7 linked regions of the Macaca mulatta genome follow. The protein of the gene in region 1 interacts with the protein of each later gene in a pairwise test. Links are inferred from orthologs where the notes say so. Each region holds a gene or a part of one and is shown on either strand. Other genes may lie near its edges. The genes, in order: KASH5, CYBC1, GOSR2, TRAF3IP3, NSG1, GPR25 and GALNT2.

Region 1 (3,785 bases):
TTGGGCGGGATGGGAGCTCTGGAGCTATGACCTCCCTTTGCGTCACCAGAGAAAGGAGGGGAGAAGGGGCTGAGCAGTAGTGGAAGTCGGGGAGGCAAGTGCCATGCGAGTTTCCGAGTTTCCAGAGGGCAGGGGCTGTTTGATCCGAAGGTTGGAAAGCTGGGAGTGAGGAAGCTGGTGAATACAATGGCCCCTAAAGGTAGCCAGTGGTGAGGACTTGGACCTTGAGAGGGGTTGGGTCCCAAGTAGAAGTTTCAGGGGATCAGACAGTGTATGTCTGACTGGGGCCTAAAAGCCTGGATCCCTTATTGCGTGGGAGCACAGCTGTATTCCTGAGGGTATCTCTGAGGGTTTTGGGTCTGAAGCTGGTGGTAGTGGCAACTGCAGGGCTGAATCTCTGCTCCCCAATGAAGGCAGTGGCTGGTGGTGTGGATGGCTGGGTCTCTAAGGGGCATTCAGGCTGGGCAGCTTGAGGCCTGAGTCCCCAAAGCAGCATTTCAGGGACTCAGAGGGCTATGACCCTAGGAGGGGCCTCCCTAGGAGCCTTCCCCCGAGGCAGGGTTGGGAGCCAGATGTCCTCCTAGACCAAGACTCTGAGACTCGCTGAGGGCAGGGCCAGGTCTCATCTCCCAGCCCATAGGCCCAGGGTCTGCTCCTTGGAAGATGTGAGTGAATGAGTGAATGAGTGAATGAGTGGCATGCTGACCCCTCAGTCCTCCTGGAAGAGGGGCTTGCACACCTGAGAGGACTGGGCATGGGGAAGAGCTCCAGCAGTTGGGTTCTGTGGGCTGGGAGGTCTGAGTTGGAGTCCCAGTCCTCAGACAGTACCCAGTGACAGCCATTGAAAAATGGCTCAACCCACTAGACAGGAAGGGCGTTTCAACACGTGCTCTGGGGCCTTACAGAGGCCTGAATCTCTGGTACTTTGGAGGGTGAGAAAGCTGGAAGCCTCAGTTCCCAGCTGGGGGATCCGCTGGGGAAGTAGTGGCTGAGAAAACCACTCTGAGATGAAGAGGCCCCCTTATTCTTTTAGTGGGCACAGACCCTTTGGATCATTTTTTGAAAATTCATGTGAAAAACACATATGCAGGACACCCCCCGGGCCCGTCCATGCTGCCTGGCCTCCCCCAGGCCCATCTGTGCTGCCTGGCCTCCCCCAGGCCCGTCCATGCTGCCTGGCCTCCCCCAGGCCTGTCCATGCTCCCGGGCCTGTGCTAAGACCCTGCTCCAAGGCTTCCCTCCCAGCCCATAGTAGGCAAAGGGAACCAGGGAGGAGAGGACGATGCCAGCAGTGACTTTGTTGGCCCTCAGGTTGACCGGAAGAGAGGAAGAGGAGGATGCAGAGAGCCAGGTCACGGTAGGCAGTCCGCAGCACCCCTCCCCAGTCCCCATCCACTCCAAGCCCGCAGAGGCTGAGTCGTTCATTTCAACTCTTCCCAAGCCCCAACCTCACACCCCAACTCCTCAGGAGCAGAGAGAAAAATCATTTGGCCAAGAGATAACAAGGCCCTTGCTGTAGCTAATGAGAGCTATGGCGAGGTAGGGGGAGGCCTGGAGGCTGGTGGGCGGCCAGGCTGCTCCCAGGGGAGCCCCCCAGCCACACACACAGGGCTGCAGCCACCACACCGCAGGCCTTGTAGACATGGCTGCACCCCCGGATTGCATAAATGCACACGCACATGTGCCCACACTCGGGAGAGGTTGGGCTGGCCCTCCCCAGCCAGCCTCAGAACTCCCTGGGGGCACAGTGCCCACAGCCCCCCTGCCTGCAGCCACACAGGCCAGCTCCTCTGCTCCTCAGAGCCCAGTGCCCGGTGGAGGTGAGGATTTCTGTTCTCAGGCAAGGACAGGGAAAGAAACTCGGTAAGGAGAGGTGAGGAGCCCTCGGTTCTGAGCTGAGGAAGGCAGGAGCTGGGCTGGAGTCTGCCTGTTGTGTGTCAGGCACTGTCAGGGCCCTTGGGGCTCTCCAGGGTCCAAACTGGCCAAGATGGCTGCCTCCATGACGCTTAGCTCCCAGCGCCCTGGCCCCGAAGCCCACCTCCTCTCGACATACCACACTCCCTTGCAGAGACTGGGCTCCACCTCAGCTTCCTCACAGCTCACACGGGGATAATCTCTTCCTAGCTCCTAGGGTGGGGAGGAGGGTTAAGGACCACGTCATAAAGGGCCTGGGTCCCTGCCTGGCACAGCAGGTGGTAAAGGTGAACATATTGATTGTGATCGGTGTTCTGTTTTTATTTACTGCCATTATTATTGTCATTCATCATCCTCATCTGAGTCGAAAAGGTGTGGGGGTAGGAAGGCCAGAGACCCATAGAGGTGAGGCCCTTCCAGGGAGACATGGGGGATGAGGCGGCACAGTGAGTGGGGCCTAACCCTGGAGGGACAGCTGGGGCTTTGATCTTTGAATCTTCAGATGAGGTGTTGGAATTAATCAGTGAATTTAGCATAGTTGCTGGGTGAAAGGTCAAAATAAAAAATCAATCATATTTCAGTATAGCAACCATGAACAATGAGAACAATACATTTGTAATTATGCCATTTATAATGGCATGGTGTTTTTGTTTTGTTTTTGTTTTTGAGACGGAGTCTCGTTCTGTCGCCAGGCTGAAGTGCAGGGGCGTGATCTCAGCTCACTGCAACCTCAGCCTCCTGGGTTCAAGCGATTCTCATGCCTCAGCCTCCTGAGTAGCTCGGATTACAGGCACGTGCCACTACACCCAGCTAATTTTTGTATTTTTAGTAGAAACGTGGTTTTGCCATGTTGGCCAGGATGGTCTCCATATCCTGACCTTGTGATCCGCCCGCCTCAGCCTCCCAAGGTGCTGGGATTACAGGCGTGAGCCACCGCGCCTGGCCTATAATGGCGTGTTTTTAATTAGTAAAGCGTCTGCTGATTCTGGCATAGGCAGGAAGACAGGATTCTGCATGAGGCCAGCACAGGGGTGGGCACCTGTGGAAGATGTGGTCTCTGCCCTCGGAGAGCTTACATACTTCCAGAATCCAGTGGAAAATGGAGGTGATGATATTGAATAGCTCACACAGACACGGAGCACTCACTAGGTACCAGGCGCTGTCCAAGCTACTGCCCCCACCTTTTTTTCCCCCCACATTTACTCATTTAGTCACCATGTTAACCCTATGAGGTGGGGACATCCCTGGCCAGCAGATGCGGAAAGAGAGGCACGGAGAGGTGTGGTGACATGCCAAGGACCCTCAGCCAGAGGCTGGCAGAACTGGGAACCCAACCTGGCAGCGCATCTCAGAGAAGTGCACTCACTTAACTCCTGAGCTCCACCACCTTCTGTGTGGTCGCTTATGTCCAGTGGGCTGACCTGAGGACCTCTCAGTCCAGAACCCAGTGCTTCAAATGAATCTCTTTTGTCCTCCCAGGCTGATCTCCCTATGCCTCTAGGAGACCCTCGCCCTGGAGACATCCCAGAAAGCCCTCCAGAGAGGTAATAGGACCCACGGGGTCCGGGAGGGAAACTGGGGACAAGGAAAAACCCAGTAGTGATTCCCTCCTTTCCCCCAGCAGGCCTGCGCAGCAGGAACTCCAGCAAGCCTTGGTGCCTGTGATGAAAGAGCTGGTCCCAGTGAGGAGGAGGCCCTGGGGCCAGCTCTGCCTGCCCCCACAGCGGCTCAGGTGTGCCCCCAGGCATCTCCAGAAGGAAGAAGGTGGTCTGACCTTGGGAAGAGCAGGGGCTGCCCGGACCCTCCCCTAAACGCTCTCCCACCTCCCCACCAGGGTCACTCGACATCCACTGATCCCAGCTCCGGTCCTG
Region 2 (4,286 bases), on another chromosome or scaffold:
CAGTGGCACCATCTTGGCTCACTGCAAGCTCTGCCTCTTGGGTTCACACCGTTCTCCTACCTCAGCCTCCCAAGTAGCTGGGACTACAGGTGCCCGTCACCATGCCCAGCTAATTTTGGGGGTTTTTTTTTTTAGTAGAGATGGGGTTTTACTGTGTTAGCCAGGATGGTGTCGTTCTCCTGACCTTGTGATCCGCCCGCCTTGGCCTCCCAAAGTGCTGGGATTACAGGCGTGAGCCACCGCGCCCGCCCGGCAGGCTCAAGATCTGTTTTAATGTGAATGCTGGTCAGCTGTCTGCTTGAATTCCAAAAGGGAGGAGTGAGTAAGGTATGTCTGTCTCTTCCTTCCCATCACTGCCTTAACTAGTTTTTCAGGATAACTTTGGAATGCTCTTGGCCAAGAGGAGGGGTCCATTCAGATGGTTGAGGGTTTGAACTTTATTTTTGTTTTACACCCGCAATTGCTGACTTGTATCCTTGTAGAATCCTTTAGTACAGTCTTGTCTTCCAAATTTCCACTAATTCACTTTAGAAACTTGTTCACTTTCAGCTTAAATTTTTTCTGGCAAGACTACTTCATGGATGGTGTTGTGTACTTCCAGTATCCGACCTTTTTGCGATGTTAATTAGCAGTCATTGATGACATTGCCCAGGTCCGTTAATTCATAAGGTGATGTGTTAATCCTACTGTTTCTTCTTCATTTATTAGCGGGAAAACTTCTATAATCAGACATTCTTCTCATGCAGTATTTGGTTACTCTGCTGTAAATTTCATAAAGGCAGGACAAATGCTTGATGCTTTCCTTTTATTAACCAGGCCACAAACTGGGGAGAGCTTGCCAGCATCCTCCAAAAGTGAACACAGTTAAAAAATACATTATTATGAATTACAGCCTGGAGCACCTCAGGATTTTCAATTCATTGGAATTACTGTTCTTATTCATGCTCAAATCTTCCTTTTTGGCAATGAGAACCGCTTCAGTTACGCTTCTATGTTGGGAAGACGCTCATAGGCTTTGGTAAGTTCTTTGCTTTCGGATACGTTTCCCCACACGTTTCTCTTTTCCAAGAAAACCGGTTCCTAGGCCGGGCGCGATGGCTCAAGCCTGTAATCCCAGCACTTTGGGAGGCCGAGACGGGCGGATCACGAGGTCAGGAGTTCGAGACCATCCTGGCTAACACGGTGAAACCTCGTCTCTACTAAAAAAAAACCAAAACCAAAAACAAAACAAAACAAAACAAAACAAAAAAAAACTGGTTCCTTTAGCTGGAACCACCCGACTCCTCCTGTGGCTCCGCCCGGGTCCCGGAAGTCCGTGCAGCCCGGCCTGCGATCCCGGAAATCCGCTCGGCTCCGCCCCATCCAGGAAATGCTTGCGGCCCCGCCCCCAACCCCGGAAGTCCGCGAGGTCCCGCCCCCGAAAGTCGGCTCCGCTCCGCTCCAATCCCGGAAGTCCGCGCGGCCCCGCCCCTGCCGGTTCGCGTCTCTCTGCTGCCGCGCGGGGACCGCTGTGCTCTCGGTAGGCGGCTGGGCTGGGTGGGCTCCGCACTTCCTTCCCGCTCCGTGCCGCGCGTCCCGGCACCCTGGGGCCCACTCCGGACGGGGTTTGCGTCCTGGACCCGCTTGTCGGCTGCTCCGTGTCCCGCCCTGCCCGTCGCGGGCGGCCTCGCGGCTGTTCCGCTGCAGGTTGGCCACGGCGGCGGGAGCGCCCTCGACCCGGACAAAGAAACGAGCGCTCGGTGCGACCAGCGGCGCGGGCGGCTCTGCCACCGGGCGTGTGCTTGTGTGTGTGCATTTGTGTGGAATGCCGGGTGTGTGTGCATTTGTGTGTGGAATGCCGGGTGTGTGTGCATTTGTGTGTGGAATGCCGGGTGTGTGTGCATTTGTGTGTGTGCATTTGTGTGGAATGCCGGGTGTGTGTGCATTTGTGTGTGGAATGCCGGGTGTGTGTGCATTTGTGTGTGGAATGCCGGGTGTGTGTGCATTTGTGTGTGGAATGCCGGGGGTTTGGGGAGCAATGCGGTAACTGAGGCCCGGGAGGGAGCCCAGTCATATACCAGCATCTAGGATTGGTTTTGTGATTTGAACCCACTATTTTTTATTTTTTTGAGACACGGTCTCACCCTGTCACCCTGGCTGGAGTGCAGTGGCACGATCTCGGCTCACTGCGGCCTCCACCTCCTGGCCTCAGGTGATCCTCCCAGCTCAGCCTCCTGAATAGCTAGGACCACAGGCGTGCACCACCACACCGGGCTAAGTTTTAAATAGTTTCTCTGGAGACGGAGTTTCACCACGTTGTCCTGGCTGGTCTCGAACTCCTGGACTCAAGCAATCCGCATGCCTCGGCCTCCCAAAGTGCTGAGATTACAGGCATGAGCCACCGTGCCCAGCCCGAACCCCCTATTTAATGTCAGAAATTTGACTTCACAGGGAAAGCCCTGAGAAACTGCCAGAACGGGGTCCCTGGGGCCAGTGTTCGCAGCGTACTGTGAAGTGGCAGGGCTGTTGCAGTCCGTGCAGAACCCGGTGTGGAAGATTAGCCCCTTTGGTGACTCGTCGGTTCTGGCCATTTTAGGACGCTCCACTGTGCAGTCTGAACTTTCAGCAGGTGGAGGAAGGCAGAGAGAGAGCTGAGACTGTTGGTCTATGCCAGTACAAGAGCCAGTACGGCCTGAAGCCATGAGGGGACTTTCAGTTCCCTTTCTTGGTGGAGGCCAGGACAGGGGAGAGGGGGTGCTGACAGGTGCTAGAAGCTCAGAGGCTGCTGGGGGCTAGCGGCCTCCTCAAGACATTAGGTTTCCAGATAGGATGGGCAGGTGGTGATGCAGCTGTAGCTCGTGAGTCTGAGCGGGAAACAGCCCCCGTGCAGTCGGTGTCACTGTGAACGGAAGAGGGTCTTCCTTACACAGGAAACGGGGTCTCTGGGGGATCCAGTGATGTGCCCGACCACAGAGAACAGATCAGACTGGCTGATGGTGTCTGGGGCTGCAGGTGACTTAGTTGGGGGACCTGCTCTTGGCCTCCAGCCTGGGCCTGATGGCGTGGGCACCTGCCTGTGTGCAGGGCTCAGCTGCCTCTGTCTGTCCCCAGGCCCCTCCTCCTGTAGAGACTGGTGCTGCCTTCTCGGGATGTACCTGCAGGTGGAGACCCGCACCAGCTCCCGCCTCCATCTGAAGAGGGCTCCAGGCATCCGGTCCTGGTCCCTGCTGGTTGGTAAGGCTCTCCCCAGAGGCTGTCCCTCCCCAGAACCCCAGAATTGGAAGCCTGACTTTCAAAAAGGATGAAAATGAAACACAGTATTTTCTGTTTTTTCTATTACCCTGAAATCGAACAGCTATTTTGTTTCTTTGTATCCATTCAAATTTTATCCTGTGTACTTCGTTTTACAGATAATGCACATCTATTTTGTCCCCTTTTAACCACTAACACCCAGAGTATTTAATACTCTGTGAGCTTTTCTGAGGTCACCGTATTTTCCTTTGTACTTGTTTTGAACCGTGTGATGGGTGATCGTGGGTTCCCATTTCTTCTCTTCCCTGATCCTCAGACCTCCTCATAGGACTCACAGTCCACTTAGCCTCCTGTCCTCCGTCCCTACTCACCAGTAGGGTCCTGTACCCTTGGGGATAGCTGCACTTGTGTTGACGGGACACCGTGTGAAGAGTGGTGCTGGCTGTACCTCAGCAGCTGTGTCTCTGGGGCCCACATTTTATGTGACACGCCACAGCCTCCTGTGTGTTTTGCGTGGCACGCTGCGTTGTAATTCTTTGTGCACAGTCTTCAGGCCTCACCACGGGCTGCTGGAGTAACACCCGTGTCAGTTCTGGAGCCTCACATGGCGGATGTGTCCAGTAAATACTGTGAATAGTGTATACTGTGTTTTGTTTTTGTTTTCTTTAGTGATGAGGTCTCGTTAGGTTGCCCAGGCTGGTCTCAAACTCCTGGGCTCAAGCGATCCTCCTTCCTCGGCCTCCCAGGTAGCTGGGATTACAAGCGTGTGATACTATGTCCAGCTATACTGCATTATCGAACCAACTTCCTGGCTGTTTCCCCTACTCTGAACCTGGTGGTCTGTAACCCCTGACCACAGCTGTTCCTATAGTGGGAAGGGCCTGCTCATCAGGGGCTGTGGCTCCAGGTCCCGCTGCACCGGGGAGGAGGTGGGGTCTTACCGGGATCAATAGGCAGGCAGTCCCTTTCTCTTCACAGGAATCTTGTCGATTGGCCTGGCTGCTGCCTACTACAGTGGAGGTAAAGCACCCCCTGCCCCGCCCCCCCATGACTGT
Region 3 (3,785 bases), on another chromosome or scaffold:
TTTAAATCAGTTACATGTTGGCATCAGAAACATTGTCTTTTCTGACTGAAGCGCTGTTGATTACTCCTGTCTCACTCATTTCCTCCCTCTTCCTTTGATAGGCAGGTCCATGAGATCCAGTCTCGCATGGGACGCCTGGAGACGGCAGACAAGCAGTCTGTGCAGAGTGAGTAATTAACTGTGGAGACCAGAGTCCTTTCTCTGATGACAGGGTGCTAATGGGCTGGGTTTCCTGACTGCACTCTGCCTCGGGGGCTTAATGATTCAGCGTGGAATGAGTTTTGTTGTTAGGGTGGACAGAAAAACCCTATGGCAAAATCACTGATTTCCCTGAGTGTGCCCTTTGGAATCCCACAAGTCTTATCCCCCATTACCCCTCCACTCAACCTGACATGGCCCTATGGGAATGGAAGCGCTTGCCTCCATCTGTCTTAATCTAATTACCTAGTCCTTAGAGGAATGTACTCCATAAAAATTCAGAGATGTTTAACTGGAATTGGCCATTTCTTCTGAGCTGAGAACTGTGGCTTTTAAGGAGGATTATTCAGAAACGAACAGCAATATTAATTAGTTTAGTTCCCACAGCATGGTTTCTTTTGAGAAGCATGCTGGATTTTTGGGTTTTTTTTCGTGTTTTTTTTTTTTTTCTATTCTAAGGAAAGATCTTTTTTCTGAGTCAGTCATATGGACACCACCTGCGGGGACTGCCTACCCACCCCACTGCTGGGCTCCCTCCGGACCCATTCCTCCTGTTCTCTCACGTCTCCTTTCACAGCTTCAAAAGCAGCTCTGTTCTTGGTTCTGTGCCCCACCTTGTTCTAATCTCAGCTGTCTTTGTTTACTGTGGGCGCAAAGGCCTAGGAAGGGGCAGTGTCACTGCTGTCACTTCTTTATGGGGCAAGAAGCAGTCTGGATGCTTTCTTTTGTGCACAGTTTAGCTTTTTTGTTCATTGGACTTTGTTTGCCTTCTCAGCAATCTTGTTACATGATTAGAAATGGAAAGAGGTCATTTTGACTGTCTTATCGAAAGAGATAAGGAAAATGACCGTATTTATCATATCTCTTTACCTCTGTGGATTCTTTCCTGGGCCTTTCCTATTGATATTTGGTCTATTTTGGGGACGTCAACATTGCTCAGCCCACCCATTCTTACAGAAAGCCTTAAGGGAGCTCTCCTCTGTATGTTTCACATACTAATCTTCCCCTTCCTTTATGCTTTTTTTTTTTTAATTAAAAAAAAAAAAAAACTCATTACTATAGGGAATTCAACTGGCAGTCTTTTTACTAGGTATTTATAATCCACGTCTGAGAAATCCAAAGGAAAAGAGACCTATATCAGAAAATTTAGCTTAAAGTATTTATTTGTACAACCTTTGCATGTTTATTTTCTAAAGGTAGGAAATTTATTTCTACAGATTTACCTTCAGCTTTTTAAAAAAATTGGCATTGTTGTGTCATTAACAACTATATACATGTACTTTTTTCAAAACAACATTTACGGCATAATTTGAATTTTTTCTGTTATTCATTAGTGTATACATTTTTCTCCTTTTGAAATATGTAGTTCTAGTTTATTGGATATTGAAAAAAAATCTGTAATTTATTCTAATTTAAGTTCACTATCTCTTTTCCAGCAATTATTCTTTTTTCTTTTTTGTACAGTAGTAGAAAACGAAATCCAAGCAAGCATAGACCAGATATTCAGCCGTCTAGAACGTCTGGAGATTTTGTCCAGCAAGGAGCCCCCTAACAAAAGGCAAAATGCCAAACTGTAAGTGCTGACCTCTGACATGGCACTGCTACTCCAGGCCCGGCAAGATAGGCTTTTCTCCTGGCGGGGGGGAGGCGATAGAATATTCTGAAAACCCACGTACATGTTGAAAAACTACGACTACGTAAAGAAAAAGCCCCCCCAAAGGGCACAGTTGTATCTGAGTAATGCTCCTCAAAATAAATAGCCTGTGAGGTTTGTGACTCAGAAACCTTGTGACCCCTTTGGTGTCATTTTGAAATTTTGCCTCCAGTTCTGTTTTTCTGACTAGACCCATGGCCACCTGAAGCCTAATGTTGCCATGGAGTTTTGTTCTGCTCTTTGGTTCCTGCTGGGTTCTTCTTGGGTTGAAATGAAAAATCACTTGAATCAGTCCACCCATAATGAAATGCTGATCTAATGTTTGATACTCCACCATGAAATTAAAATGAAACCACCTTTGCCACTCCACCCCCAGTGCCTGTTTCCAAAAGTTTTATGATACTTTGTGGATGCTTTACCTCAAAGATGCCCTTGGGCTTCTTCCAGGAGAGCGATATAATCCATAGAAGGTCAAGAAGAGGTCAGCGAGCCTGCTTCCTGTCCCCTGTTCCCTGTCATGCATCCAGAATCAGAGAGCAACAGATTCTGAAGTAAAGCTGCCAGAAGCTTGTGTGCTACCATCTCGCTTTAACCACACGTTACTTCTTTACTTTCAACATCATTGATCAAAATCAGATCTTGTGGTGGTGGGGTATAGCATGGGGTGGTGTAGGGAGAAGTAAGGAAATGCTGTCTTTCCTGAATACAAAGCCTGGCCCCCTGAGACTCTGCTGCCCTGAGTTCCTGGAATTTAATCTCTCTCTCCATCAATTCCAGTCGGGTCGACCAGTTAAAGTATGATGTCCAGCACCTGCAGACTGCGCTCAGAAACTTCCAGCATCGGCGCCATGCAAGGGAGCAGCAGGAGAGACAGCGAGAAGAGCTTCTGTCTCGAACCTTCACCACTAACGTAAGCCAGGCCTGCGGTGAGGGTCGGCCTGCATTTGGCAGATTGTGGGGGCTGGAGTTCAGATCTCTGAGCGCCATCTGTTTTGGGGGTATCTGAAGAAGACTGGTGATGAGGAAACCAACTGGAAATGACGGGAACTTTGTGCATTGCCACAGAGACTAGACCTCGACAGAGAATCCCTTTTTCTAAGACAAAAACCTGAAGAGGAAGCAGTTAAATTGAAGGGGAATAGGCAGAGGTGAAAATTACCTGGTTGGACTGGTCTGAGACAGAAAGGTGGAAGTTCACATAGTGGAAACGTTTTTCTGATCAGATAGAGACAGATGATTAGAACTTAGGCCATTTGTAGAGAAGGCAGTATTTCAAAGCTGCCTGCGGGCAGTTGCCGTTGTGCCGAGTATGTGTGTGGTTCCAGTGTCAGGTGCATTAAAATGTTTTTGCCCCTAGTCTGAGCAGCAATTTGGAGGAATTTGTTAACGGATGTGTAGGGTTAGACGGACTGCTTGCCTGAGTCTGTCTGAAAATGTGTTGGTGTGCACGTTTGATTTCTCAGAACCCATTGTCCCTGCCCTTTAGTCTTAACCAGATCATTTCCTGCACATGGCTGTAGAACAGACTGGCCTTTTCTGTGTCCTGCATAATATATTCCACTAAGTGAAGTGTGCTTTGGCTTTTTGTATGTTGTTTTTTACAGAGGATTATTTTCTAAAGAGATGTTAGCTTTCTAAGCCTGTTGTTAAAATTCACATCATTTCCCGCTTTGTAGATGTTTAACCCTCAATGCTGCATCCTTGCTTTGCAGTAAATTTCCCCAAGTGTTTCAGGCTCTGCCAACGTTGTTTTGCTTCCCCAGACTAAGCAGTCAAGTCACAGTGTTTAACAGTTCAAAAATTTAATGAACTATAAGACACACTAAAAGATGGTTGGATTTTAGATCGTTAATAATGTAGTATTCAGGCCTTTTTTAGACCAGGGATGATCGCTTAGGATTATTTTGTTTTCTGCTAGCCTGGTGTGATGCTG
Region 4 (3,785 bases), on another chromosome or scaffold:
GAGAGGGGAGAGAGGTAGTGAGCGAAAGGGTAGCTTAGAAGCTTTCCTTCCAGGGCTCCCCTGCTATGCTACCCTGAGCCATTTGATAAAAATGGAGGTAAAAAGAGGACTTGAGGCCAGTCTGATTCTTTCTTGTCCTAGTCTAGAGAAAGAAGAGAAGATCCTCTTCTATTCAGCATCCTTTGTCATATTTGCTCCTGCCTGCCTCCTGAAAGAGTTCACTGTTTGAGCATCAACCATGTGCTGGGCAGTAGGATAGGAATATAGAGTCAAACTCTTTGCAGACTAGATTTTGGCCCACACTCATTAACTCATCCCATTTGCTCCAGGGACAACTTAATGAAGACAAACTGAAGGGGAAACTGAGATCCTTAGAAAACCAGCTGTACACCTGTACCCAGGTAAGCATTCTGAAGGATATTTCCGTCTCGGGAATCTAGAATTAAATGTGAAGAATGCTTGAACCTCAATCTTACTTTTGAGAAATGCCACCAGATAGAGAATAACACACCCATTCCTACTTACCCAGTTCTGGCTTGGCCATTTTCACTTTAGTCTCTAATTCACTAGATCACTGTCTCCATCCTTCTTCCTCTCCCTTTCTCCCAGTATCCTTCTCTTTGCACCCTGGAGGAATCCCAGCACTAACCACTTTGTCAGCTCCAGGGGAACCTTGAGAATACCTGAAACTGTAGGGAAAGGCCCTTGGTAAAGATTCACAACACCCAGACAGATCTTTACACATCCTAATCTTTGAACAGATGAGTTAGATGTTATAACGAAGTCTTAGAAAATGATTTTCATTCCATGGGCAACTTTTTTTGTTTTTTCTAGCAACCCCTAGAAGAATGTAAAAGCTCTTTTACTTGGCTCTTCTGTAACACCATTTTCCAGCATTAGTAATCTCCTGATTGGCCTAATCTTGGTTTACAAGAGATAGAAAGAAATCAGCTTTCACATTTGAGAAGTGATGGATACCTGACAGGTGGGAAGATGTCAAATAAGAGAATGGGGCGGAACAGGCAGACTTCTCCCATCTGGAGTTAGAGAGAGAAGACAGTTGGCCACATAGATGGCGTCTCACAGGGGAAGAGAGTTTATGGAGTCTATAAGTTTCTTGGTCCACAACTTTCATTTATTCAGTATGACTTGCTTTGACAGGACTAAATAATGCCAACCAAGTTCACAAGAGACCAATATATAATCCAGAACGCCAATCTATTCATTTTCAATAAGGAATAACACATAACCAGTGCCCAGCATGGATGGTCATTGGATGTCCAATAACTGGGACATCCCCTACATATGACCTCAACCAGGTTAATTCCTGAATCTAGTTTTTAATGAAAGTTCCAAAACTATAAGACCCACTCAAATTTAAATCCAAAATTTCAGACAATTCCAAAGCTAAATGGAAATGATTTCATATTGATCCCTAAATTTTTGTCATCTGGTCTACTGCTTACACAGTGGGTAATCCAGAATTGACAGTAAAATCTGCCTGCCTTCTCCGAAATCACAGGACACAAAGATGAAAGAAAGGGAGAAGGCAAGACCCCCAGTGAATGTGCAAAGCTGCACTTGTGTCTCCTTAATCCTGCAGCCAGGAGGAATTTTATAACGCGAATGTATTAATTTTAAACCATTAAGTTCATTAGGCATTGTAGAGAAGCTACAGTGATTTTTTTTTAAAGCAGCAGCAGTATGCTCCCTCCCTGAAGGAGTTTACAATCCAGTAGGAAAAACAGATGAGTCAACAGAGTAGAATAATAGAGGCATGCAGGGTACACTATGTGAACACTATGAACACTAAGAAAAGCTGCCTAATCTATAAGACATTGTGGGATGGGGGCAGTTGGTCAATTTATCAGAACTGATGATACTGGACTGAATCTTGAGTGTGAGTAGAAGTTAACCAGTTCTAGGCAGAAGAAGCTATATGGGTAAAGGCAGAAGCCAAAAAAACAGAGTGCTAGGGGATCTGCAAACATCTCAGCTTAGGTGGAAGTAGCATGGGATGAAAGTCTAGGCATGTAAGTGGAGCCATGACAAGGAGTTTGGATGTGATTCTTAGGATGCTGAGAATCCATGGAGAATTTATGCAGGAAGTGGCAAGATCAGATTTGCATTTTAGAAAGAACCTTCTAAATGCGGGACTGAAAAGGGACTGAAGGGAGGCAAGATTTGAAGAAAGGGAAGCTGTTGCATTAATCCACATAACACTACTACTAGAGCCTGAACTAAGGAAGCAGCAGTAGGGATAGAGAGGAGACAGATATGAACTATGAAGGAAACTGTCAAGGTTCAATGACCAACTGATTACTGGAAGGAAATGAGAGAGAAAATGAAGATTGACTCCCTGGTTTAGGGTTTGGAAAAGACTAGATGGATGATGATTCTGGTCACTGAGATAGGAACCCCAAGAAAAAAGAACTTGTTTAGAAACATGAGTCCTGTTTAGACATGTTGGATTTCAAGAGCTTGTGGAAGGCCTCAGATATAATGCCCAGCAAGCCTAGGGCACTGTTTATTATACCCCCCCACTCATCTCTCATTGCCTGAGGGACTCTCCCTGCTAGCTCTACCCTAAAAGAAAAGGCTCACTAGATTACTGGTATCTCTGCCTGGGGGAAGAACCAACTTCTTTTCATTTCTGTATCCCAGTTCAGGATTTGGCACACAGAAGTTCAATGTGTATTTGTTGAATTGCATCAAATTTACAGAAATACTCCCCTTGGGGAATGAAAAAAGTACTACTGGAGATGGAAGACCAGAAAAACAGCTATGAGCAGAAGGCCAAGGAGTCACTGCAGAAAGTGCTGGAGGAGAAAATGAACGCAGAGCAGCAACTACAGAGCACACAGGTATGGGGATGCCACACAGACCTTGGGGTTGGGGACTCCAGGCAGCTTGGGGAACAAGGGAGCCAGCTGCACAGCTCCCTGGAACCTCTCCTCTCTGACCCCCCTCAGCGATCCCTGGCCCTGGCAGAGCAGAAGTGTGAAGAGTGGAGGAGCCAGTACGAGGCTCTGAAGGAGGACTGGAGGACCCTTGGGTCCCAGCACAGAGAGCTGGAGAGCCAACTCAACGTGCTTCAGTCCAAACTGCAGGTACCAGGCACTGGGGGTGGGGAGGGAAGACAGGGTATGGGGAGGAGGGGTGGTGATGAAGAAGCTCTTCTGGATTAGGGACTCCAAAGGCAGCTGACAGCATCTGGCTTTCAGTTCCTCAGTCACCACCTACTTTGTACCAAATTCACTGTTTTGGCTCTGAAATTTAATTTCGAGTTTAGCAAGGATGTCTGCACTGCTCATGCAAATGAACTAAGCGTTCATTGGAATGACACCATCACCATCCAAATGAAAAGAACTGGCTGGAATATATATCAGCCTACTAATGTCATATCCCAACCCACTCTCCAAACTCCATCCCAAAAAAGCATCCAGTTCAGAATTGCCCACTGTTGGCACAGAAAAAATGTCACTAATTTATTTACAGGTGAGTACTAACTAACACTTTTTGCCAATGTGTTTTTTAAGCAATTACATTTAGCAATTACAATTAGACTCCTGGCATCCTCAAGGGTTCCATCATCTTCAATCTGTCCTAAGACTCGGTTTCCCCATCTGTAAAATGAGGATAATAGTACTTACATCATAAGGTTGTTCTGAGTATTAAGTAAGATGATCCATGTAAAGTACTTAGCACAATGCCTGGCACATAAAAGCACTCAGTAAATATTAGCTATCATTTTGCATAGATTTATTTACTTGGTTTGGAGTTTT
Region 5 (3,785 bases), on another chromosome or scaffold:
GCATGTTCAGACTAAGATTACGGAGGCCCTGCCATGTGCTGGTACCCGGCATCCTCCCACCCAGCCAGGGAGCCTCATCGCTCTCTCTGCCCCTCTGGGCGGGAGGGGGGCCATCTGCACACTGTTTTAGCTTTTTATTGATTTATTTTGAGGTGGAGTCTCGCTCTGTCACCTAGGCTAGAGTCCAGTGGTGCGATCTCAGCTCACTGCAGCCTCTGCCTCCCGGGTTCAAGCGATTCTCCTGCCTCAGCTTCCCGAGTAGCTGGGATTACAGGTGCCCACCAACACGCCCGGCTAATTTTTGTTTTTAGTAGAGCTGGGGTTTCACCACATTGGCCAGGCTGGTGTCGAGTTCCTGACCTCAGGTGATCCACCCACCTCGCCATCCCAAAGTGCTGGGATTACAGGCCTGAGTCACCACACCCGGCCCGTTTTGGCTTTGAGACATACTCTTATCTCTGCCAGGCTCCCTGGCAGCCGGGTGCCTTCAAGGTCCAGGTCCAGTGTCATCTAGTGACCCATGCCCCATGCCCTCCAGCTGGGGCAGGCTGTCCCCCTCCAAGCCAGCTGTCTTGCAGCTGTCATGAGTTCATCTGTAAACCCCAGCTGAACACCTACTGTGTGCTGGGGCTGTCTAGTGCTCAGCACACCATGGTGAAGAAAACCGAATCCCTGTCCTTGAGGACACTAACTAACCACACGGGAAACCACCAAGGGCAAAGGCTGATGGGGCTGCCGAGGTTCTGTCAGGATGGCCCCACGCAAAAGCAGGCTGGTGTCCGTGTGAAACTGCGTCCCAGCACTGAGCCCAGGGCTCAGGACACGTTTGCTGAGCGGATGCTTGGCTGGTAGCTGATGCACCATGGCCGTGTTGGGGCAGTGGGCAGCCAACCCCGCTTCTTAGACATGTGTCTCAGTGGCCCGAGAGCTGCCTGGGCAACAGTGGGGCTTCCTCATATCGGTACCCTGAGCTCTCTGCAGGACCTTGGGTACTAAAAATAACTAATTTAAAATGAAGGTCACTTATTAATATGGTGAAAAATTAAACTGTTACAAAAAATTGCCCAGTGAAAAGTGATGCTCCTAATCTCTTGTCCTCAGCTGCCCTCCCCAGGTTCTTCCAGAGGCAGTCTGTGCACATGCTGTGTATTGGGGGGCCTGCGTGTGCCGGGGTGTGTGTGTCTGTCCTGCTGCCTTCCGACCACCCCTGACGGTCCCGCCTCTGCCCACAGGTCTCTGTGCTGGTCCTCTTCGCCCTGGCCTTCCTCACCTGCGTCGTCTTCCTGGTCGTCTACAAGGTGTACAAATATGATCGCGCCTGCCCCGATGGCTTCGTCCTCAAGGTAAAGCTCCATTTTCCCCCAGAGGCCTTGGGATGTCTTTGCACCCCCTGTTCTCTCCCTTGAACTCAAAGCTGCTCCTGCCGTCTCCCCCAGCTGGCCCAGGCACAGGCCTTAGAGCAGCAGAGGGCCAGTGTCAGGAGTGTCCCTGCGGAAGGCTCAACTGGAGAGCAGGGCAGGTAGGCAGGGGACACATGAGACCCACAGGAAGGAAACTCCTGGACTCGGCCCCTGGGAGCTGACCTCAGCAGTCCAGGGAAGGGCCCTCCTCAAAAGTGGGCCCAGCCAGGGAAATGCCCAGGGTGATACCTACCGGGTCCCAGCGGATTGCTCTGGGGGAGGGAGGGAGAGGGGACCATGTCCGCCACATGAAAGAGAGAGGACATACTGGGGGAAGCCAAGTCCCAGAGAGAGGAAGGCCTTGCCCAAGGCCATGCAGGGACTGGGGAGCAGGGCTGGGGGGCACACCTACCCTCTTGACCCATGTCCCTCTTCTACCTGTCCCACCGTGGGAGCCACACTGGTGCTGGGCTCTCTACAGGCATGGAAATGCTTGCTTTCCATGTATAATGGTCATTCCAGAAAGCCCACAAGTGGCATGCAAGGCAACAGGATTAAAGAAAAGGGAGAGGAGATAAGGGTGGAAAGAGAAGACGGAGCCAGGAGGAGGCCTGGCCATGCATCACTTAGTGACAGGAATAATTCCTGAGAAATGCATTGTTAGGCAATTCTATCATTGTGCCAACCTCACAGAGTGTACTGTACACACCCACACAGCCCAGCCTGCTACATACCTGGGCTGTAGGGTATGGCCGACTTCTCCTAGACTACAAACCTGGACAGCATGTTACTGTACTGAACAATGGAGGCAGTTGTCACACAATGGTATTTGTGTATCTAAACATAGAAGAGGTCCAGTAAAAACAGGGTATAAAAGATAAATCGTCCACCTGAATAGGGCAGTTCCATCATGAATGCAGTGTGCAGGACTGGAAGCTGGTCTGGGTGGGTGTGTGAGGGAGTGGGTGGTGAGCGAATGTGAAGGCCCAGGGGTGACTGTGCACTCCTGTAGACGGAGTGAGCGCTGGACACTTGAGCTACACTCGATTCATAACATATTCTTTCTTCAGTAATAAATTAATCTGAGCTCACTGTAACCTTTTTACTTCATAAACTTTTTTTTTTTTAATGTGACGGAGTCTTACTCTGTCGCCCAGGCTGGAGTGCAATGGCACGGTCTTGGCTCACTGCAACATCTGCCTCCTGGGTTCAAGTGATTCTCCTGCCTCAGTCTCCCGAGTAGCTGGGATTACAGGCGCCCGCCACCACCTGGCTGATTTTTGTATTTTTAGTAGAGACGGGGTTTCACCATGTTGGCCAGGCTGGTCTCGAACTCTTGACCTGAGGTGATCCGCCCACCTCGGCCTCCCAAAGTGCTAGGATTACAAGCGTGAGCCACGATGCCCGGCCCATAAACTTTTAAGTTTTTGACTCTTTTGTAATGACACTTAGCTTAAAGCTCAAACACGTTGCACAACTGTATATTATTTTTCTTCATGTGCTTTTTCTATTAAAAATTTTTCAATTTTTTTTTTTTTAATTTCAACACATTTTTGTTAAAAACTAAGGACACAGACACACACATTAGCCAGGCCTGCACAAGGTCAGGATCAACAGTATCACCGCCTTCCGCCTCCACACCTTGTCCCACTGGAAGGTCTTCAGGAGCAGTGACAGGCGCAGGGCTGTCATCTCCTAGGATAACAATGCCAGGACAGGTGTGGTGGCTCACGCCTGTAATCCCAGCACTTTGGGAGGCCGAGGTGGGAGCATCACCTGAGGTCAGGAGTTCAAGACCAGCCTGGCCAACATGGTGAAACCCCCTCTACTAAAAATACAAAAATTAGCCAGGCGTGGTGGCGGGCGCCTATAATCCCACCTACTCGGGAGGCTGAGGCAGGAGAATTGCTTGAACCCAGGAGACTGAGGTTGCAGTGAGCCGAGATCATGCCACTGCACTCCAGCCTGGGCGACACAGTGAGACAACGTCTAAAAACAAAACAAAACAAAACAAAACATAACATTGCCTTCTTCCAGAATCCCTCTTGGAGGAGCTCCCTGAGGCTCTTTTAAACTTTTGTTTTAATAACTAGGCATACACTCTAAAATACTGATTAAAAAGTATAGTATGGTAACATAAACGAGTAACATAGGCATTTATTATCACTGTCAAGTATTATGTTCTGTATGTAATTTTATGTGCAAGACGTTTATACAGCTGACAGTGCAGGGGGTGTGTTTACACCAGCACCTCCGCAAACGTGAGGCATGTGTTGTGTTCTGTCCATACAGTGGCTGCGAGGTCACCAGATGATGGGAGTTTACAGCTCTGCAATTGTCTTATGGGGCCACCGTGGCACGTGGTCCATCGTTGACCCAAATGCT
Region 6 (4,352 bases), on another chromosome or scaffold:
CTGAGTAGCTGGGACTGGTGTGTGCCACCATGCCTGGCTAATTTTTGTAGTTTTAGTAGAGACGGGGTTTCACCATGATGGCCAGGCTGGTCTCGATCTCCTGACCACAAGTGATCTCCCCGCCTCGGCCTCCCAAATTGCTGGGATTACAGATGTGAGCCACTGCGCCCGGCCTCTAAGACCATTTTCCAAATCCTTCCTGGGGATCTCCGTGTGCTAGAGGGACCCCAAGTGAGGGTGACCTTATGTCCCAGTTTGCCCAAAATAGTCCTGGTTTATGGCCCAGGTTAATTCTCATAGTGCCCCTTTCACTCTCAGAAACATCCTGATTTAGATGATAAATTATTTCATGACTACCTCAAACCAACATCAAACTGAACACATACGCACATGCGCCTCACTGTTCTTGGCAGTTAAGGGGACAGTGTCCATATGGTCCCTAAGCGGAGAAACCCCAGGCTTATCTTTGACTCTTCTTTGTGAGACCTATGATGCTACAATTACCTCCTGAATACATCCTCTCCTTTCTGTTCCCACTGCTCATGATCTATTTCAGACACAAATAATTACAACCTACGGTGGGGTCTCCCTGGCTTGAGTCTCTCCCTTCTCCACAGTTCTGCCAGTGATCTTTTCAAAACACAGATTAATGCCTCCTGACTCCCCATGACCTATAGATTGAAATCCAAATCCCTTCATGATTCCTCCTGCTTCATCTCCTGTCCCCACTTTCCTACCCTAGGCTCTGGGAGACTGCTTGTCCCCTGAAAAGCCCACATTCCTACTCATTTCAGTATACTTGTTCCCTTCACTCCCTCCTCCGAGTCTGACCCTTTCTTCTCTTTTCTGCTGCTCTTATTTGACTTTCAGCTCATTCCTGGGACTGATCTCAAGTGTCATCTCCTAGAAGGCCTTTTCTGATTTAGCTTTCCCGTCAAAAATAATCACTCCCCCTCCACTAAACCCTAAGAGGGCTTGGCTTTTAACATTTACTACAATTTGGACTCCCGGCATGTCGGCCATTGCACATTCTGCTTATGTAACCATCTCTCCTGCCTATGCAATAAACTGCTAAGGCCAAGAATGGCATCTCTCGCAGTGCCTGAAACAGTGCCTGCTTCATGGAGGAGTTCATTGTTAACAAGTCTGAATCGAACAAAATTGATAATCCACCTCAAATTTTCCACACCAGGTTGCCCGGCACATCAGCCACTCATTCCTGGGGACACTGGGGACAGACTCAGAGGGCACTGTGACATCAGTTCCACCACAATATCTTGTGGAAGGGATATCTGCTAAGAAGAATTCAGATGTAATTGGCTGCATGCCTCCTTCAGGAGGAAGAGCAAGCATTCCCTCCCCCATCCTCTCCTCCTAAGGGCCCACCGCCCACTCAGGGTCAGACTTCATTCCCCCTCTTCTTTAGGTATCCTCCCCTTACTCTCAGTTTCTCATTTCACAAAGGATCTTGCTGCCTCCAAGCTCCTGACTCATAATTTAGGACAACTAATCTGGTGTTTCATTAGGTGTCATCTTTTGAACTGAGCTTACATCTGCGTCTGGCTTAATAGATAGCTTTTTTAGGCTGGGAGAAGACAGGGAAGAGGCAGATGTGAATCCCAGGCTTGGCCCCTGTCCAGCAGGATGATCTGACTACACCCCTTCCTAGATGCCTTAAAACCCTTCCACTCCGCTTCATGAGGACCTGTTTGGGTCAGAGAAGCCACTCACAGGGTGAAGACACAAACCCCACATTTCAGGATGCTAACAACGGTTTGAGTGCCCAGGGCGGGCTCCCCGACCCACCCAGATCTGCTGTGTCCCGGCAGTGGACTCTTTCCTAGGGAACAGGTGGATTTGGGGGGGGGGGGCGTGCCTTAGGCCCCATACTCATAAAATCCCCTGTCTTCTCCCCTCTAAAACAGAGAAAACAGCAGCCGGTGGGTGCAGGTGGGAAGGGGTGAGGTGGAGGCTGAGAAGAGATTAGGGCTCTCTGGCACCCACCACCTCTTGCAACACGACCCTGAGGCAGTGGGGCAAGTATCCCGATTTCACGAACAAAGAAACTGAGCAACTAATAGAGGAATGGGCCACGCTCCTACTGGGAGGCGGGGCAGGTCTCCCAGCCCTGAGGACTTTTCCTCCCAAGACTTAGTTGTGAAGCCCCTTTTGCCTATCCCAGCCCTTACCCCTCGGGTCAGCCCCAAATCGGAGGCCACCATCTCTCCCACAGGAGCCTGCCCCTCCCACCCCATCCCCTCCTCCCTCCTGTCTTTCCTGCCCACCCATTTGCTCGAGCTGGGGTGGCAGGAAGGGAGGTGCACGACACGGGCATGAAGAGCAAACCCCCTCCTGCTCAGAGCTGCTGCCGCCTGAGCCCAGGGCTGCACCCAGCGCAGGCCTCGTGGCCAGGCCATGGACCCCACAGAGCCCTGGAGTCCCAGCCCGGGGTCAGGGGCCTGGGACTACTCGGGATTGGACGACCTGGAGGAGCTGGAGCTGTGTCCGGCCGGGGACCTGCCCTACGGCTATGTCTACATACCTGCACTCTACCTGGCGGCCTTCGCCATGGGCCTGCTGGGCAACGCCTTCGTGGTGTGGCTGCTGGCCAGGCGGCGCGGCCCACGGCGGCTAGTGGACACCTTCGTGCTGCACTTGGCGGCCGCTGACCTGGGCTTAGTGCTCACACTGCCGCTGTGGGCCGCGGCGGCGGCGCTAGACGGCCGCTGGCCGTTCGGCGAGGGCCTCTGCAAGCTCAGCAGCTTCGCGCTGGCGGGCACGCGCTGCGCGGGCGCACTGCTGCTGGCTGGCATGAGCATGGACCGCTACCTGGCCGTGGTGAAGCTGCTCGAGGCGCGGCCCTTGCGCACCCCGCGCTGCGCGCTGGCCTCGTGCTGCGGCGTCTGGGCCGTGGCGCTGCTGGCTGGCCTGCCCTCCCTGGTCTACCGGGGGCTGCAACCCCTGCCTGGGGGCCACGGCAGCCAGTGCGGGGAGGAGCCCTCCCACACCTTCCAGGGCCTCAGCTTGCTGCTGCTGCTGCTGACCTTCGTGTTGCCCCTGGTCGTCACCCTCTTCTGCTACTGCCGCATCTCGCGCCGCCTGCGCCGGCCGCCGCACGTGGGTCGGGTCCGGAGGAACTCGCTGCGCATCATCTTCGCCATCGAGAGCACGTTCGTGGGCTCCTGGCTGCCCTTCAGCGCCCTGCGGGCCGTCTTCCACCTGGCGCGTCTGGGGGCCCTGCCGCTGCCGTGCCCCCTGCTGCTGGCGCTGCGCTGGGGCCTCACCATCGCCACCTGCCTGGCCTTCGTCAACAGCTGCGCCAACCCGCTCATCTACCTCCTGCTGGACCGCTCATTCCGAGCCCGGGCGCTGGACGCGGCCTGCGGGCGCACCGGCCGCCTGGCGCGAAGGATCAGCTCGGCCTCCTCGCTCTCCAGGGACGACAGTTCCGTGTTCCGTTGCCGGGCCCAGGCCGCGAACACTGCCTCGGCCCCCTGGTAGCTGCCCCGGGCCGCTGGAGGTGGGCGACAGCGGAGCACCGAGAGGAGGGGAGAAGTCCCGGGAGGGGACCCAGATGCGCCTGTTCTGGCGGCAGCAAGCTGCTCCGGCCGGCATCGCATTGCCTCGCGCGCTGCCTGGACTCCCAGGGTCTCCTCCATCAGCTTCCCCGGAACCTCAGAGCAATTGAACTCCCCTAAACCAGGCTCCTGAGACTAGCTGTTCCCTGTCAGCCTGCAGGGTACAAGATAAGTGCTATGAGATGGAGCAGACAGCAACTCGGAGACCCGCAGATTCACCAAGAAGACAGAAGGGAAGGGGATTTCCTTCTCTGCCTCATTGGGAAGAGCACTGACCAGAAATCGAACCCAGACCCCTAAATGCCATTCTGGTTTCTGGCTGTGCTTTCTCCCGTCTCCCACAATAGCTTTTGCTTTCAGAGAAATACCTTCTCCAAGTCAGGCCCTCTGCCCTTCTCACTCACAAAACCCTGGTGTTGAATCTGGTGACACTTCTCCCCCTACGAAGCGGTAGGACTCACCTGGAAGTTGTTCTGGTCTTTCCCTCTCAACAGAAGGTCCTGAAATCGCTCACCAGGCGTTTCTTAAGGTCTCCACCACTCAGCCAGGAACCTCAAAATCTTCTCTGTGAATTCATCTTTCTCAATAAACAGACACTCCTGCTAGCCCTGTCTTCACAGTCGTCTTTGCTTGCGCAGTGGGAGTGAAATGCGTATCAGGAGGCGGGTCGCACACTGGGTGAGACAAAACTCAACACAGTAGTTGAGGTTGATCTCAGGATGATGAGGATTTGGGGTGGTGTCTGGGAGCTGAATGCTGGCTGCACTCTGCAGG
Region 7 (4,468 bases), on another chromosome or scaffold:
AGTGTTAAGAACAGGAATGCAAGCACAAAAGGTCGTCCTAGCATGCCCATACTTGGAATGCCTGCCCCTGTTCTTACAGTTGGTCCTTAGAGATAGATGGGATGTAGGGAAACTGAGGCTCGGAGCCTACTGGAGCCAAGTGTGTGTATATATACGTATATATATACACGTATATATTTCAACCCCAAGACTCAGGCTAACCCTAGTCCAACCCTAATTTCACAGCACGGAAAGCTGAGGCTCAGAAAGTCATTGCCTCCAACCTAGAGTCATCTGGGAAGACCAGGCCAGGACCGAGTCCCCTGTTCAGACCCCAGTTGTCAGGGAGATGCTTGCAGAGGGCCCTCTTTCACCTGTCTGTCTCCAAACCCCTGCGCCAGCTCTGGGTGCTCCTCCTTCCCTGCTCTGTGGAGTCCCAGATTCCTGGCAGCGGGAGCCCCTCTGTAGGGTTCTGGTCATAATCCACATCTCTAAATGTCCATCTGTATTGATGACTTGATACCAAAATGTGTAAGGGAGTGCCTGTCAAACAAGAGAAGGCTACCATTGCTTGGACCCAAACCACCTAGAAACTGCCTCCCTCACTAGCCCCTCAAGAGGAAGCTCCTCGAGGGCAAGGCTGGCATCTGCTGAGCCAAGTACTGGGTGAGTCTCAAACACATTCCCCTGGGATGTAACGGAGCAGAGCTGTCTGGATGTAACGGATTGATAAAGTGATGACTTTATGACACCTTTTTAAAAAACAAATGGTTACTTCAATATTGCTTAATTTCAAGAACTGACAGGTGTTTCTGCTTCAGTCCCAGTTTTGGGGAACCATAACTGACATGCCTTAGGACCTTCGTGAAGCATGAGAAGACCTATCAATAAGAAGTTTTTCTGGATGTATGGCGTGTCTAAATGGGGATCTGTTAGGTTTTCAACCCCAAGACTCAGGCTATTATAGAGGATGTGGGGGCCATTTCAGTAGGGTCTGGCTGCCTTGAAAATCTGTGCTGCACCCCCGCCACCACAGTCCCATCAGACAGACATCAGAGCCGACAAGGCCACCTGTGTGAGACGGAGCTGGGGTTTGGTTATTGTTTTTCTACGGTTCTTCATTTAGCTGATGCTTTGACACATGACAGGCAGTCCCTCCAGTGGCCAGAATCAGATTCCGTTCATTCCCAATTCTTTGTTGAGAAGATTCCTGGCCGCTCAGAGTGACAGGGCAGCCTCAATACACACTTTACATGATAATGGAGAGAAACAGCATGAGGGGTGATTGACAGAAACGAGGGAGCGGGAAATGAAAGAGGAAATGATGGGCACTTAGCAAAAGCCTCCCCTGGCTCCTCTGATTGCACTGTCTTTCCCTGTTGGCAAGAACTCCAGGTGAGCAGGTGGATGGAAATAAGGCAGGCAGGGTCCAGGCGACAACATCCTTGTGGTGTTTCACGCAGGTCGGGTCCCCAGCACTGGGCTCCTCTGCTTGCACCGGCTCTTCCCTGCCTCACTCACTGGCCCCTCGAGAGGAAGCTCCTTACAAATTTTATCTTGGAGCTGAACTGGCTTTGCAGTTGGAATATTTGGTTTCCAGGCACGTCCATGTTTTCATATTATGTGCATATTTGCAGAGTCAAAAAGAAAAGGGTGGCAAGAGTGAGAAAATTTAATTCTGCAATGTCAAAAGGATTTGCAAAAAATACTTAGGTGAAGGAGCTTTAGTGCACACAGTATAAAAAATTAATTAGAACCACAGACTTCATTATTTGAAACGAGCTTTGAGGAGGAAAAAAATGGTTACTTTTTGTTTTTTAAGAACAAACATTAGAGATTTTTAAATGGGGATTTTTCCTTTCTTTTCTTTTTTAAGAGACAGGATCTCGCTCTGTTGCTTGAGACTGGAGTGCAGGGGTGGGTATGACCGTAGCTCACTGCAGCCTCAAACTCCTGTGCTCAAGCGATCCTCCCACCTCAGCCTGCAAGGAGCTAGGACAACAGGCAGGCACCACCATGCCCTGCTAATTTTTTAAAAAAATGTTTGTAAAGATGAATTCTTGCTATGTTGCCCGGGCTGGTCTTGAACTCCTGACCTCATGCTATCTTCCTGCCTCAGCCTCCCTCCCAAAGTGCTGGGATTACTGGTGTGAGCTGCCCGCACTCAGGCTGAAAGGGGTATATATGTTACTTGCTATAAACAGGGCTCCTCAGATTTCCTTCAGGCTGGGTTGTGTGCTTTGATTTCTGGCTTGGTTGGTGGGTAACGGGTGCGTGGGTTGAGTTTGGTTGTTTGCTTGATTTGAGTGTTAGTAAAGAGGCATCGTACCCTATACTTTACAAGCGGCATGTTCAGAACTCAGCAAACACTGGTCCCCGCCATACAGAGCACCAGGGGCCTCAAGGGTAGCAGAGACAAGTTTCTCATATCCACCAAGGAGCTTGCACACCACATATACAAACCAGTAGAGAACAGACCGCATAGAAATAGGCTTCTCAACCCTATGTTCTGTTCACACAAGCATCTCTCTTCCTGACATTTGGCCTGACATGGTTCCTCTGGCTGCCCCGAGCAGAAAGCCCTAAGTGGGAGCATGGAGGTGCCCAGACTAAGGCCTCCAGGCAGGGCTGCTTCCCAGCAGCCAAGGGAGGAGCTGGCTCTGCTTTGTGTGGCTCTCTTCTTGGGGTGAACCATCACTGGATCAAGCTTTCTTATGAAGGCATGCAAATTCCCCTACATCAAATCCTTGTGTTAATGACGAAGGGGTGGGTGCCCAGAGTGCTGGGGCTCAGAGGAGGGGACACCCACAGAAAGGTTGGGGCAAGAGAGGTTCTGAGTTTTGATCCAAGGCAGAGAATACGTTTCCTTCCTGGGCCCCCAGCAGCAGCACAAGGCCCTGAATTCACACGGATCTGTTTGTACTCCTTTGCTTGGGGCCACACTCTAAGGCATTCTCCTGTGTCTTGCAGAAATGGGAACAGATCGAAGGCAACTCCAAGCTGAGGCACGTGGGCAGCAACCTGTGCCTGGACAGTCGCACGGCCAAGAGCGGGGGCCTGAGCGTGGAGGTGTGCGGCCCAGCCCTCTCGCAGCAGTGGAAGTTCTCGCTCAACCTGCAGCAGTAGGAGGGCCCGGGAGGCCCTGCCGTCCTGTCTCCTGCACCATCGGGTGGAGTCTGGTGATCACATTATTGATTATGTTTCTTAAACTTTCCGCGAAACTAATATACCTCAGTATTCCATCATGGTCTGAAAGTCGAACTTCGGCAAGGCACGGACGACTGTGCAGACACAACAGCGGCAAGAAGCGAGAACTGCCCTCCCCCTCCTCTTGGTGCAGCCCAGCTGGGCCCCCTTCCCCAGGCCGGAGCGCCCCTCTTCCTTCCAGCTTTCACTTCCACCGGCTCCGCAACTGAGTGACATCCAGCAACAGCCGACCGGGGAGTGGTAGAAGCGGCAACTGAACAGACGCATGCGAGCTGAGGGCAGGGCGGGAGGAGGGGGCACACACGCCCAGGGGAGCGAGGAGAACTCTTGAAATCTCCATTTTCGATCCCATCGAAATCACGTATGGTTTCCACAAAGCCGAGTCGTGTCACGTGGCAGGTTTACGTCGATAGCCCCTCTCTCTGCTCCTCCGTTCCCGAGTGTCTTCCTGGTCCAGACTCCCCTCCACCTGATGTACTTGCTATCTCTGAGGATGAAGTTTTCTAAGGTGGGACGCTAAATATAAAGCTATATAGAGAAAGAATGTACGGTCAGTTCCCTATGGTTTCTGTAGGAAGAATGTACGGTGAGTTCCCTATGGTTTCTGTAGGTCATCATCATCTTGTAAATTCCCCACAAAGCCGTTCGCAGCTTCCGGGAGAAGGGGCCAGAGCCCGGTGGGGCCAGGTTCTCACGGAGGGAGGAAGTGGCCTTTGTCCCCTGGAGCCCGATCAGCCAGTTGGTGCTACTGCTGTGGCCAGCTGTGGGGGCTTCCTCCAGACCACCGGCCTCGGCCCCGGCATCCCTGTTGGGCGTCAGTCAGCCTGAGAGTCACTACTGTGCGTCAGAATCCACTTTGTGTGCTGTGTGTATCTGTGAACCTGGAGGGGTTACTTATTTTGACAGATATCACTTTGGGTCTTTTTACATTAAATTTCTTTTCTCTAAGGAATATAAACAACACCCCATAGCTCCCAATGTGAGCCAGCGATACCGCTGCCCCCTGGCGACAGGGCAGACCAATGATGCCAGGCAGCTGTCACACGCTAGCATTGGCCTCATTGTGATCTCAGCCCTGCATGCAGGGCCTTCAGAATTAATGGCCAGCAGTGTCAGGGATGAGTCTCTCAGCCTGGGCACAGGCCTGGCTCACAGTCCTACACACCTGCGGGCCTGGGGAGCTCCAGCCAGGCAGCGAGTCCTGCCCCGCCCGCAGCCCTCTCCCACACCCCACCTGGCCCACGTGACTGCTTCAGGGGGCTTTGGGGAAAGAATTAGGAAG

What was found.
Region 2: the proteins of KASH5 (region 1) and CYBC1 interact in binary tests that used the Homo sapiens proteins (3 or more experiments, as listed by UniProt). The two-hybrid records come from large-scale screens. The link is inferred for Macaca mulatta from reciprocal best matches to the Homo sapiens genes KASH5 and CYBC1.
Region 3: the proteins of KASH5 (region 1) and GOSR2 interact in binary tests that used the Homo sapiens proteins (3 or more experiments, as listed by UniProt). The two-hybrid records come from large-scale screens. The link is inferred for Macaca mulatta from reciprocal best matches to the Homo sapiens genes KASH5 and GOSR2.
Region 4: the proteins of KASH5 (region 1) and TRAF3IP3 interact in binary tests that used the Homo sapiens proteins (3 or more experiments, as listed by UniProt). The two-hybrid records come from large-scale screens. The link is inferred for Macaca mulatta from reciprocal best matches to the Homo sapiens genes KASH5 and TRAF3IP3.
Region 5: the proteins of KASH5 (region 1) and NSG1 interact in binary tests that used the Homo sapiens proteins (3 or more experiments, as listed by UniProt). The two-hybrid records come from large-scale screens. The link is inferred for Macaca mulatta from reciprocal best matches to the Homo sapiens genes KASH5 and NSG1.
Region 6: the proteins of KASH5 (region 1) and GPR25 interact in binary tests that used the Homo sapiens proteins (3 or more experiments, as listed by UniProt). The two-hybrid records come from large-scale screens. The link is inferred for Macaca mulatta from reciprocal best matches to the Homo sapiens genes KASH5 and GPR25.
Region 7: the proteins of KASH5 (region 1) and GALNT2 interact in binary tests that used the Homo sapiens proteins (3 or more experiments, as listed by UniProt). The two-hybrid records come from large-scale screens. The link is inferred for Macaca mulatta from reciprocal best matches to the Homo sapiens genes KASH5 and GALNT2.

What each region holds. Positions count from the first base shown.
Region 1 is NC_133424.1:61,841,082-61,844,866, forward strand, and holds part of KASH5 (protein KASH5), read left to right. Parts: intron 1-1,311; coding exon 1,312-1,357; intron 1,358-3,393; coding exon 3,394-3,458; intron 3,459-3,535; coding exon 3,536-3,646; intron 3,647-3,702; exon of another isoform or gene 3,703-3,748; coding exon 3,749-3,785. UniProt on the Homo sapiens protein: As a component of the LINC (LInker of Nucleoskeleton and Cytoskeleton) complex, involved in the connection between the nuclear lamina and the cytoskeleton.
Region 2 is NC_133421.1:92,162,864-92,167,149, reverse strand, and holds the start of CYBC1 (uncharacterized protein C17orf62 homolog), read left to right. Parts: upstream 1-1,393; 5' UTR 1,394-1,519; exon of another isoform or gene 1,520-1,739; intron 1,740-3,090; 5' UTR 3,091-3,128; coding exon 3,129-3,213; intron 3,214-4,209; coding exon 4,210-4,251; intron 4,252-4,286. UniProt on the Homo sapiens protein: Functions as a chaperone necessary for a stable expression of the CYBA and CYBB subunits of the cytochrome b-245 heterodimer. Controls the phagocyte respiratory burst and is essential for innate immunity.
Region 3 is NC_133421.1:70,166,952-70,170,736, reverse strand, and holds part of GOSR2 (Golgi SNAP receptor complex member 2), read left to right. Parts: intron 1-101; coding exon 102-166; intron 167-1,662; coding exon 1,663-1,771; intron 1,772-2,629; coding exon 2,630-2,762; intron 2,763-3,785. UniProt on the Homo sapiens protein: Involved in transport of proteins from the cis/medial-Golgi to the trans-Golgi network.
Region 4 is NC_133406.1:67,527,504-67,531,288, forward strand, and holds part of TRAF3IP3 (TRAF3-interacting JNK-activating modulator), read left to right. Parts: intron 1-329; coding exon 330-401; intron 402-2,723; coding exon 2,724-2,864; intron 2,865-2,972; coding exon 2,973-3,110; intron 3,111-3,785. UniProt on the Homo sapiens protein: Adapter protein that plays essential roles in both innate and adaptive immunity. Plays a crucial role in the regulation of thymocyte development.
Region 5 is NC_133410.1:8,581,364-8,585,148, reverse strand, and holds part of NSG1 (neuronal vesicle trafficking-associated protein 1), read left to right. Parts: intron 1-1,232; coding exon 1,233-1,343; intron 1,344-3,785.
Region 6 is NC_133406.1:58,519,808-58,524,159, forward strand, and holds GPR25 (putative G-protein coupled receptor 25), read left to right. Parts: upstream 1-1,459; 5' UTR 1,460-2,415; coding exon 2,416-3,501; 3' UTR 3,502-4,183; downstream 4,184-4,352. UniProt on the Homo sapiens protein: Orphan receptor.
Region 7 is NC_133406.1:18,767,414-18,771,881, reverse strand, and holds the end of GALNT2 (polypeptide N-acetylgalactosaminyltransferase 2 precursor), read left to right. Parts: intron 1-2,949; coding exon 2,950-3,105; 3' UTR 3,106-3,728; downstream 3,729-4,468. UniProt on the Homo sapiens protein: Catalyzes the initial reaction in O-linked oligosaccharide biosynthesis, the transfer of an N-acetyl-D-galactosamine residue to a serine or threonine residue on the protein receptor.